Linked DNA regions of Solanum lycopersicum. Each later gene encodes a partner of the first gene's protein in a complex. Links are inferred from orthologs where the notes say so. Each region holds a gene or a part of one and is shown in the gene's direction. Other genes may lie near its edges. The genes, in order: kinetochore protein NUF2 homolog, kinetochore protein NDC80 homolog and kinetochore protein SPC24 homolog.

What was found.
Region 2: kinetochore protein NUF2 homolog (region 1) and kinetochore protein NDC80 homolog share a complex: the UniProt entries of both Arabidopsis thaliana proteins name them as parts of the NDC80 complex. The link is inferred for Solanum lycopersicum from reciprocal best matches to the Arabidopsis thaliana genes AT1G61000 and AT3G54630.
Region 3: kinetochore protein NUF2 homolog (region 1) and kinetochore protein SPC24 homolog share a complex: the UniProt entries of both Arabidopsis thaliana proteins name them as parts of the NDC80 complex. The link is inferred for Solanum lycopersicum from reciprocal best matches to the Arabidopsis thaliana genes AT1G61000 and AT3G08880.

The regions. Positions count from the first base shown.
Region 1 is NC_090809.1:11,522,711-11,526,085, forward strand, and holds part of kinetochore protein NUF2 homolog, read left to right. Parts: 5' UTR 1-120; intron 121-213; 5' UTR 214-257; coding exon 258-418; intron 419-496; coding exon 497-715; intron 716-1,160; coding exon 1,161-1,251; intron 1,252-1,333; coding exon 1,334-1,513; intron 1,514-2,515; coding exon 2,516-2,605; intron 2,606-3,021; coding exon 3,022-3,129; intron 3,130-3,375. UniProt on the Arabidopsis thaliana protein: Acts as a component of the essential kinetochore-associated NDC80 complex, which is required for chromosome segregation and spindle checkpoint activity to ensure proper cell division.
Region 2 is NC_090800.1:89,053,584-89,057,735, reverse strand, and holds the start of kinetochore protein NDC80 homolog, read left to right. Parts: upstream 1-1,227; 5' UTR 1,228-1,350; coding exon 1,351-2,474; intron 2,475-3,685; coding exon 3,686-3,932; intron 3,933-4,152. UniProt on the Arabidopsis thaliana protein: Acts as a component of the essential kinetochore-associated NDC80 complex, which is required for chromosome segregation and spindle checkpoint activity to ensure proper cell division.
Region 3 is NC_090803.1:60,966,946-60,971,247, reverse strand, and holds the start of kinetochore protein SPC24 homolog, read left to right. Parts: upstream 1-1,456; 5' UTR 1,457-1,568; coding exon 1,569-1,746; intron 1,747-3,399; coding exon 3,400-3,542; intron 3,543-3,632; coding exon 3,633-3,733; intron 3,734-4,302. UniProt on the Arabidopsis thaliana protein: Acts as a component of the essential kinetochore-associated NDC80 complex, which is required for chromosome segregation and spindle checkpoint activity to ensure proper cell division. Required for the maintenance of plant architecture.

The DNA.
Region 1 (3,375 bases):
GATTAGGTGCCTGTGTGTTAATTGTGAAATTGTGAGATATCATACAACAGAGACTGTTGCTATGCATCTTATTACACGAAACTAGAGTTCTCTTCTGAAACTCAATGTGGTTTGTTTGAGGTTTCTGTTTGATGAATTTGTTTGAGTTTCCATTTCCCAATATTTAATTTCAGCTTCTCTTTTGAATTTTAAATTGAATTTCGTCGGCTACAGTTGAACCCGATTCAGAAAGTGGTGATTCGCAAAAGAAGAGTGAAATGTCGAGATTTGATTACCCAACACTCCCCCGACAAGACATCATCGCTGTATTAGGGGAAGCTCAAATAGCGTCTGTCTCCGACGAAGATCTCATCAAACCCACTCCCGACTTTGTCACTAAACTCTACTCCAGCATTCTTCTCCATATCGATACTCTACAGTATTTAATAATCCAACCTTTACTTCTCTGTTTCAATCAATCATATTTTATTTTTAATTACTTTCTCTTGTCTTTTAGGGATGATCATGATCAGGTGGATTTCTCCGCTCTGGAATACCTTGAGAACCCGGATCTTCATGTCGACTCTTTTCGGACTATTAATTTGTTTCATAAGATAAGGAACATGTTGTCTGCTTTGGGTTGTCCAGAGATATTTACTCTAAGAGATTTGATCAAGCCTGACCCTGATCGTACCCGCTTCTTTGTCGGAGCCATCCTCAACTTTTGTCTTCACAGGTCCCATTCACTTTTTACTTTCTTTTGTGTTTTCAAAGGGCTTTTTTTGTTAACTTAGGCAAACATATGCTTCTCTGTTTGTTTTGAATCGACCACTTGCTGTCTTTGTTTACTGAGGCAACCATATATCTTGCATACTTTTACAAACAATCATTCTTCACCATCTCATTCATCAACCTCCAAAGAGATACAAAATATGGATAAACTTTGTCTTTCTAGTTTACCTAAGTTTGGCAAGCAAATATGCTTCTCTGTTTGTTCTGATAAATGAAAATACTTTGCAGAAAAAATGCTTCCAATTAATAGCTAGAATGAGGAAGTTTACTAGCTTTTGCCTGAGATTTCTGTTCTTTTCTTTTATCCTTTTACTGAATTATCACCCCATCTCACCCCAAAACAAAGTGTTGCTCAATTTTTCTCTTTAATATGTTGTTGACAAATTTAGGGACACTAAATTAAATGCTATAAGGCCGATTGTGGAAGATCTGACTCTCATTGATGAACAACGACTAGCTCTGGAGGCTAGAATATCTCAGGTATCTGAAGTAGTAGAAAACATTTTTACAGGAAGCTTCTTTCGCAAAGTTTCTCTCAAGTTACTTACACGGTACCTCACAGTTAAATGAAGAGATTGCAGTACAAAATGAATCAAGAGAAAGGGAGATGCCTTTGGTTCAAGAAATAGATTCTAATGTTAAGGAACTGAGGCAAACAATTTCTGGTCTTAACAATCACCAAATGTCGTTGAAGGCCTCAATAAGAAAACTTAAGGAAAGGGCTAAAGAGATAGATGAAAAGGTCAGCTGTTTGGCTTTTTTCTCCTTTTAATGTCATATTTGTTTCATGAATTGCTAATAGCCTAACACTGGATTATCTGCCATATGTTTGGTGTTGGCTTACTTTGGGTCCTATGTGTCTAGGGATCTTTTTATCCCAGTAAAAGATTTGTATGATAGAGATTTACATCAGTGGAAAATATAGAGAATTGTTGAGTATTCTTGAACATAATTGGTTGCTCACAACTTGAATTTATTATTACAAAGTAAGGACTACTTTTTTTCTTTCACTCACTTTCTTGCAACTTTGTTTGTTGCTCTCCTATTTCTCACTTGCTCCTCACACTTCTCACTTGATGACTTACTTGAGCACACATACATCTCAAATGACCATCCTTTTTTATAGGTGGTGATGGAAAAACTTAGTTGAGCATTGTAGAATAAACCCTTCCACTTATTTCTGGAATTGCCCTTCCTAGAATATTCGTAGACCTGCCTCTCTAGAACTTTCATTCTAGAGCTCTTATTTCAATTCTCTATAAGTCTCTAATATTTTAGATTCTTCTTTGAAATATCCTGGATGTTAAGTTGGTGATAACTGTTCAACGAATACTTTGAGTACTTCTAAATAATGTCAAATATTGGCTTGATATGAGTATAAATAGAACAACATTGTCAATGTGGATTCATATGACCGATGTCAACTTGCTTGGAATTTAAGTGCAATTGTTGTGTAATGGTAGTATTTGGGCTATCTTGTGCACACCTCAATTATATCTCATGTACTCGCCATCTCCTACCAATAAAAGTATAGAGTAACTTTACCTATCAAAGTTTAGACATATGGGAGGAAATCACCTAGTGTTTTGTTGGTATTGGACCCTGGTCTTCCATGAATTTCACCCACTATATTAACGCTAGGCCACACCCTTGGGCACAGTTACTGTTTATCGCATATTATTGAATACAAGCTAGATATCTGTGTTATGAACTAATATTCCAATTGCATTTTGTCTCCTTCCAGATTTCTAATGCAGACTTTGCATTGGTACAAGCTGTTCATGACAATGCCAATTTGCGTTCTAAGATTGTCCAATCACCAGATAAGCTTCAGGTATGAGTTATTACTGACTGTTGAGCTGGTTTTAAAAGAGTATGCATCAACTGTGTCTTCTGGATATCTTGTGCAAGTGATGTGGTTTGTTATTTGTCAAGGGTGCTATGACATTGAGCATGCTGGTATATTAATACTGAACATAATTGCAAATATGACTGATTTACATGCTGTAACTAAAGTATCTAATTTGGATTTCTTACATTTCTCTTGCTTTGATGAACCAATGACATATCTGCCTCTGTTCTCTGAGGCGTGGTTCCACTTTCTCTAAGTTAAGATCTTTCTTTTAGCTAGATCATTTCAAATTCTGTTTGTGAAATTAATTGCAAGTTTTCTGCGCTTGCTCCTCTAACATCAAGATGCTGCAGCCTTTTCGTTTTATGTGTTAATTTTTTGACTATTGAATTTTTTAGAGAGCTCTGGAGGAAAAGAAATCATTTCAAGCTGAGATAAGGAATGCTGAAAGAGCAGCAATGCAGTCTTTTCAAGATAAAACAGCAATTCTTGAGGTTTATACAAAGGTACTGTTCATCCAATACAACCTGTATACTATATTTTCAACTCATAAATTGCATCTATACCCTTATTTATGCTCAATAAACGAGAAATGACATAGTAGTATGTAAAAGAGAAGTTGCAGGAGATTTATAAAAAGTGGAATGATGTGCTAGCCTCTCATTTTTGTGATATACTCTTTGCACGAGCAACTCTTGAGTCACTACATGCCCCTTTGAAAAAATGCAGTAAGTGGCCAGGAAGAAAACACC
Region 2 (4,152 bases), on another chromosome or scaffold:
AAGGGAGAGATCTATTAGATGATAAAGTGGCACATCATGATATATATATTTATTTATATATAGAGAGAATACGAAGTGTTATAAATAATATAAGTTTAATTGATTTATTAAAATGGAATAGAAGGAGGAAATTTTAGGTAAACTTTTTTTTCTTTGCCAACATGACCCTTCTACCTCCCTCTGTTAAACGATAATTATTTATCATAGTCTTCAGACAAATATTTAAAAGTAATAAATAATTGATGAAATTTTATCAAATTATTTTAATAATATTTCTTCCATTTCAATTAATTAAATTGATGAGATATTTCATACATTTAAGATTTTTTTTTAATATAAATTAAGCATAATTTTTTATTTTTACTCTTATTAATTATTATTAAATTTATAATTAAAATAATTAAATATTAATTAATAATTAATTTCAATATTAACTAATGAAAGGTAAAATTGGAAGAACATTATAATAATAGTTTTGAAAATTAAACAATTAAGTTAATTGTAAAATAAGAAAATGTTTTAACAATTCAATTAATTTGAAATGAAGGGAGTTCAAAATATTAAAAAAATAAAAGTAATATTTAATAATAAGAACAAAATAAATACAAAAGAATAAATTATTGATTAATTTTATAAATCAGACAAGTATCATTTAAATTAAATTAAGCAAAAGGTAACATGCAATACCTTTTTAGGTAAATAAACTACTCCTTCAACTTTGACGAAAATCAATGTTTAGTTGACAAATTTAAAGGATTGAAATTTATAGGCCTACGTAAATAGATTTTTAAATTTGGTGAGTTTTTTTCCTTAGATATCTTAACTATATCATTTTTTTATTAAATTATTGAATCATTCATAATTTGTTCTTTTAGAATATTGTTAGTTGATTTTGATCGGCTTTTTAATTGTAAATGTTTTCAATTGTGTTCGAATTGTAATAATTTTGATTGAAGAAATAAAGATAAAATCGTGTTTGTCTCATTTATTTTCTAATGTATTCAAATGACCTAAATAAAATACAATTGTTCTCGAATATTTTCATTATTAATTGAACTAATGAATTGTGAAACAACGTATGTATCCTTTATTAATATCCTTTAAAAATCTGATTTCACATCAGATATGAAAATTTTAATTATTTAATAGGAAAATAACGTAGTTGAGATATATGAGGGGTGAAAATCCAACATGATACGTCTATTTGGCCAAATTTATAAACAGCATAATTAAAAAACAATTAAACCGAAATTCTAATTGAAATGCCGCCATTACTCATTTTCCAATTTCAAAGCAGAAACACAAGTACCTTTCACTAGCCACCGAGATCAAGCAGCAGTTTACTCAACAATGAGAGGCGCCGGACGCCGTCGTACCAATTCTGCAGTGCCGGATCGCCGTCATCCACCACCGACTCCGATAAACGACCCAAGGCAATTTATCTCCACTGGCGGGCGTGATTCCGACGCAAGCTTCGCCAGTAGCCGGCCTTCATCTGCCGGTGTAAACACTCGGTCCTCCGCTATCCCCATCTCTGACCGCTCCTATCAACTCTCTGCTCTGCGTACAATCAATGCTTACCTTTCCTCCCACTCTCTCCCTTTTACTCTCAAACATCCTCTCCCTTCTGCAAAAGATATCACCGAAACCCTAAAATTCATTCTCTCTCGTTTCGGATTTTCCTTAGCAGAGTCGCATAAACTCGAAGATGATCTCCAAACCCTACTGAAATCCCTAAATTGCCCCGTGAAATTGAACAAATCTGCATTACGCGCCCCTGGGACGCCTCATTCCTGGCCTAGTCTACTTGCAGCAATTCACTGGCTTGTTCAGCTATGTAAATTTGATGATTACCGGATGAGTTCGGCTCAACCACTAGCTCCGAGTAATAAGGAATTGAGATATACTGTAGAGAGTTATTTGCATTACTTTAGGGGGAAAGATGATCAAGTAGATGAATTGGATCGCCAATTTATGCAAGAGTTGGAACAACATAAGGAGCGGTTGGTTGAGGATGTGAATGTCTTGGAGGAGAATGTGAAGGCTCAAGAGGAAAAGTTGGAAGAAATGAAGACAGGACCATCGGAAAGAGAGACGTTGGAGAAGGAGAAGAGTGCGTTGGAGGAAGATGTAAAGAAGTTTCAGGCTATCATTGAACAGTTAGAAGGGCATATAGTGAAAATGGATAAGATGGTGGAAGAGAAAGAAAAAGGGTTAGAGACTAAGGTTACAGAGAAAGAGAGCATTTGTGCAGAGAATGAGGAGTTGAAGAAGAGGGTGGAGGAACAAGGGATTAATTCCAGGGATGCAGATAGGATGAAGAGGGAGTTGCATGCTTTGGAAAGGGATATTGGGGATATTGAGAACCAGAGGATTGAATGGGAGGAGAAGGCTTGGGACCTCGACTCTGCGATTGGGAACATGTACAAGAAGCTTGAGGAGCTAATGATTGAGTGCAACCAATCTATCAGGAGGTTGTCATTCCCTCTCCTGTTATTTATGTTGTTTGAAATAAGAGTATCTTACTTTCCATTTAACAGCATGAGATTCAATATTTTTCGTAATATAAGTGTTTGTTGTTCTATGAACATGGATATATTGCATTGCTGTGCTATTTTAGTTGGACTAAAGCTATAAGAATATGGCTACTAAGATAAGATTGGAAGGACATTATATTGTTTTCCCTCAATTGATTGTTTCTATCAACATTCACTTAAGTTTAAATGGCCGTTACAACATGATACTGTTAGATTGCTTCTATAATGGGTTCTCGGCAGATAATTTAGGTGACAGATTAATGGGAATGCAATTTGCTGAAAGTTATATGTAAACTGACTTTATATCTGTGCTTCTCAGAGTTTAATTGATTCACTAACTTCCAAAAACATGCCTTTCTTTCTCTAATGGGTAGTGAATTGTTAGCTACGGTGATATATGAGAATCACAATTTAGCCCATTGTTGTAGTGCTGCTCCTCTAAACTTTGACTTGAGATATGAATGAGGAACACTATACTAGTCACAAGGCAATAATGCTAAGATTCTCATCATACCTTTTAGTTATAGATTCTTGAATTTAGTTTTTCCAATCACTCCGGTTAGAAACTAAGGCTGCAGCATGCCTCCATTTTTTAAAGAACAATTGATCCTTCAATGTTGTAGTCTCTGCATTAATTAGATGTATCTTGCCTGACTGGGTGCTATGTTGGAATTGAGTTCTGTATTTCCAGCTATATGACGGTCCTTCATGAAGAATATTTTTTATTCTATATTCATGTTTTTATTGTTGGATTATGCGGCAATTGATGATACACTTTTTGAATTTGGCCAAAGCATGGACGAAAACACCCAAATGCCACTCGGGAAAAAAGATTTTGTGGGAGTGTCTCTATGCAACAATCATTTCTCAGATTTCTGTGCCTTCTTGTTGCTGCTTGAAAAGTTCTTTTCTTTTCCATAGCTTATCAGATTGAACTGTTGGAGCAAATTTTCTACAATTTGATGATTTAGATCATAACTTGGGAGGGGTTAAGATTGTAAGTTTGAAACTAGATCAGTCAAAGTGAGATGGAGCAAGTATATTTTTGTATGTTTTCTGTGGTTTGCGGTGGAACTTTCCTTCTACTTGTTGCTCGTCATCATTTCCTTAATTACTCTGACAACAAACAGCCTCATTTGAAATTTCAGGTTAAAGCTTGGAAATGAATTTCAGTATCAATTGAATCCCCAAGGGTCCTCACCAGCAGAGGTATTAGGTATAAATTACAAAAAAACATTAAAGCCCACTCTTGCATCCTTTGAAGATGAGATGAAAAAGAGTTCCATGGGGAAAATGGAAGAGTTGATATATCTCCAGCAACAGTCATCTGAGAAGGCTATGAAATTAGAGTCAAAGAGGAATCGTCTGGCTACTCTTCAGGCTCACATTGATGATGTAAGTTTAGCCAGCATCCTTTCCCACTATAGAATTGGACACTGGTCCTCTCTCTCTCTCTCACACACACACACGATATTTAATTTTGTATAATATATAACATTTTATCGGAAGTGAATCTGATGACATAATAAGTGGCATTCTATCTTCTAGTGGAGATGCTCTCAGAGTCAGAGGTACCTGCACTATTTGGAAATCAAAAATGCATAAAAAATTTCCC
Region 3 (4,302 bases), on another chromosome or scaffold:
TAATTTTCAACTATAAATAAATTATCTCTTATAATTTTCATGTTGTTTCATTATGACAATTAACATATGACATATTCTAACGAGTGGCAATTAACTCATAATGACTTTCATATAATAGTGAGCTGCACTTTTTAATTTTGATTTTACTTCTTATGATAAGATAGTGTCATTCGTCGAGGGCAAGGAGCGCATCAAATATTAGATTATAAATGCTTTATAACTTTAAAATAAATGTTTTCTCAATTGATATCAATACTTGAATTTCAAAAAAGTTAAGTTATTTTATTATCTTGTTTTATTACAATTTTGATATTATCGACAAAATATTGTTAAAAAAAATTACTATAAAAATAATTGTGAAAAAAACTTTAGTATTTTCATTTTAAATTTTGTTAAAAGGCAAAATAGTTACAAAAACTTAAATTTCATAAATATAAAATTGATCTAAAGTTTGTAGTCAGTTAGTTCATTTTGATTTATGTAATGTTTATTTGACTTTAACATGAAGTATTTTCTTTTTTTTAAAAAAAAACACTTTTTGTTGTAGTTTAAAACTAGCCATAGATGTTCATATGATTTTAAATCATCTTACTAAGAATAAAATGAATATTTTTGAAGTCAAAATGTTATTAAATATATTGATACGTTATTCTTTTGAAATTGACTGCACAGAAAAATATACCACATAAATTTTCATAGTGTTAAAAGTTAATTACATTGTATCTCCACTCTTTTTTAAATTACAAAAAGTTCATATATTCATCAACAGAAATGCAAAAACATCGGTCGCGATATTATTCAGAAAACTTGCAGAAACATATCTCGTGGATGAATCAGAGAGAGAAGAAATGTATTCGAGAGGGAATATAGGTGTATCTGAAAGGAGAGAGATGTATCCAAGAGAGGATAGAGATATATTAAAGAGGGGATGAAGATGCCGAGAGAGAATATAGATGTATCCGAGAGGAGATATTGATGTACACAGAGGATAAGAACGTAGCTGAGAGAATTTTTGTAATTTTTTTAAATGGTAGAAAATTTTAAAAAATATAATAAAATAAGATATGAATTTAGATAAAAATTTTAAATTAAAATTGAAAAGATAATTAATTATATTAAGCACGTGAACGGGCCTTCAATTATCTAGTATAGTAAAATATTTTAATAAAAATATACTTAAATTATCAAAATCAAACATAAATTTATGCTAAAAGGTTAATTCGACTTAAAAATGTAACGAAGATGTATGTTTAACTCACATTTCACTGATTTTTCATCAGATAGGTAAGATATTGCAATTTATAATACTTTTAATATTTATTTAATTATTAAATCAATATAATTTCATTTCATTTTAAAAATTAGTCAAATTAAATATGATAATATTATTTATCAAATTATTTTTTAAAATAATTTAATAAAATAATAAACGTAACAAAGTACATAGTATAATTTAACGGGAGGGAGGAGTTCTATTTTTCTGTGAACTCCGCTAATCATTCTTCTTTTCAAATTACTACATTCGGAGGGAGAAAAAAGCCCTAAACTTTGGTCTGGAGAGGTCGAAAATGGTGGATGGGTCGAATAACGTGGATGTAGAGAAGCTGATCTCCTTCAGTAAGGATCTTGTTCAGTTTTTGAAAGAAGATAAAGATGTCAGCTTCTTGAATCAGTGTAAAGAGCAATTTAATGCCCTTCAATCACACTGCCAATCTGAGTACCAGGCTCTTCAGAATTCCATTCAAGGTGGGGTTCTTGTATTTCGTTTTTAATTTTGTAAAATTGAGGGTTTGTTGAATTTCTTAGTGGCTTAAAGTTTGAATCTTTCTCAGTTGGAGATCTCCCCAATCCTCAGAGTCATAAGACTATGTGATAAAGAATAAGTTAGCTTCAAGATTGAACCTTTGGAATTGTGTGTATAATGTTCTTACTGTTGAATTTTGATATTTTTGTTTTGGAAATGGTAGGATGGTTACTAAGTGAACCTCTTTCTGTGTTTACTTGAAGCATTTGGCCATGAAAATTGTGAGTATTTGAAAATTGGAGTTGGGTTTGGCCATGAATACAAATTCTGGGTTGTTTCTGAATTTTTATGATTGATTTGGAGTGAAGAAAGTTTTTGGTGTTTTTCAAATTCTTGAAAATGCAAGTTGAATTTTATGGCCAAATGCTCCCTTAGCTAATGGATTATCCCAAGAGACAACCTACTGGTCAGGAGGTTACAATTTAAGCTGCAGATCTCGGTGGTGTCACTCATACTAGCTTAGTAGTGCCTGACTGGACCTTCCCTACTTCCTATGAACAATGTGAGAGAGAAAAAACATTGGCTTAAAGATTGCAACTTTTAATCTGATATAGACTGAGTTTACAATGTGCTTTGCTGTTTAATGCAGTTTCTTTACTCCTCGTAGCACTTCTGCTTTATAGATACTTCTTTACACTTGAAACCTTGCTTTTTAGTGATATCTTTTTTGGATGTTTCATTCAGTAACATTCCTTTAATGAAAGAGAAAAATGGGGGTTGAATCAACTTCTTATTAGTTTAATTAGTTTAAAGATTGAACCCAAGGGACATCTGCCTTGAGGCTGTAAGTTGAACCACAGTGCATAGTTCAAACCTCAGGGTCACCACGACGCAATAGGATCTTCCTGGATCCTTAAAAACTATGTAGTGAAAAAAAAACTCGGCGTAAGATTGGAATTTTGAATCAATGTAGACAAACTTTACAATGTTCTTGCATCTGGATGATTCTTTTTCTTAGTACCAATTATTAGTGGATAAGTCTCTTAACGTTGACCTGAAACACCATTTTCTGTTTGCTAGCTTACTGGAGTGTCAGGTCAAAATTTCTTCTTGCAAAATATCGTCATTTCTGGATGTTTCTTTTATTAGTAACATTTTGGGGAGTGTGGAGTCTCTGTCTCTGTCTTTTATACCTTCATGAGTACTACTGCTGGAATCTGGATCCTCTCACGCCAACCCTCATGAGATTTTTTTGGAATGTACTATATATAGTGTAAAAATTGGTGCTATTACCTACTTATTCCTGATAGTTTTGGTGATATTTCTACTTTTGGTGCAGTTTGTTTCCGAGTTGAAGTCCTTTTAGCCAATTATAATGCAAAAATATGTAGAGGCCCAGTACGTGTGTCTAGTTTAATGATTAGCTCAACAGACCACTACTTTGGTTCCTTTCGAGGGCCCAACCCTGCTCCTATGATTTCTCTCTGGCCTCAGACATACATGTTGTTTTTCTTATTAAATAAGTTGGAAATTGGAATTATGTTGGTATTAAGTGTCTTTGTTCAAGCATTAATTTATGATTGTACTGGGAGATGTTCGGATTTGTGAATTTGAAAGTATTAAATGACTAATTTCAAGTCATTGCATACACTCAGATTATCAAGGAAAGATAAATGCATGTAAGCAGAGAACAACAGAAGCACAATCTGAAGCTGCTGCAGAGGCTGAAATAGATAAGCTGCAGAAAGAGTTAGAACAGGAGATCCAGAGAGAACAACTGCTTAGAGAAGAACTTAGATAAGTATATTAAACAACGTTAGATGCATGAATTTGTATTTCTCAGATAATTTAGTGTTATGCTTACTGATTGACACCTTTTTTAAACACAGTTATAACCGATGAGATCAATGATTTAGATCGCCAAAGAGACTCTATTGAGGAGCACAGGAAATTGCTCAAGAAAATTGAGCAAGATCATCTTCGAGCTGAGTAAGTAATCATAACCTCTTGTACTTTAATATGTTTATGATTATGTCAGGCATTTGCTTCCAACATACTTCTACAAATTTCGTTGAAACAATCCCATCGTGGCATTTGTTGACTCCTCCTCATCCTCTAAGTTCAAACCGTGCCTGCTGGCCCTTGAGGTTTCTCGGTCATCAAAAAAGAAAAAGATATTGATATGTTGACTCGTTAAGCTTTTGCAACTTTATGCTGTCAAAGTATCTCAAGAGGTTGGGAGGGTCTGACATGTTTTCATCATATTCTGTGGATAATTTGCCTACTCAGTTCCATATTGCAACATGGTACACATATTTGAATGTATCTGCCATATGCCAATCACTGTTAAGATAGTCCATTAACATCCCATCTGGTGCGACCAAGTTCTACCACATTACATCTTTGGATGTCTAGGTGTAACTATCGCCCAACTAAGTATTTCTACAAATTGAATATACACCTGATTTGACTTTGTCTGGACGCAACCAAACATACCCCTCCTTCCCACTTTATGGGATACACTTTTCTTTTTAGCCCGTTCCGAAAAGAATAACACA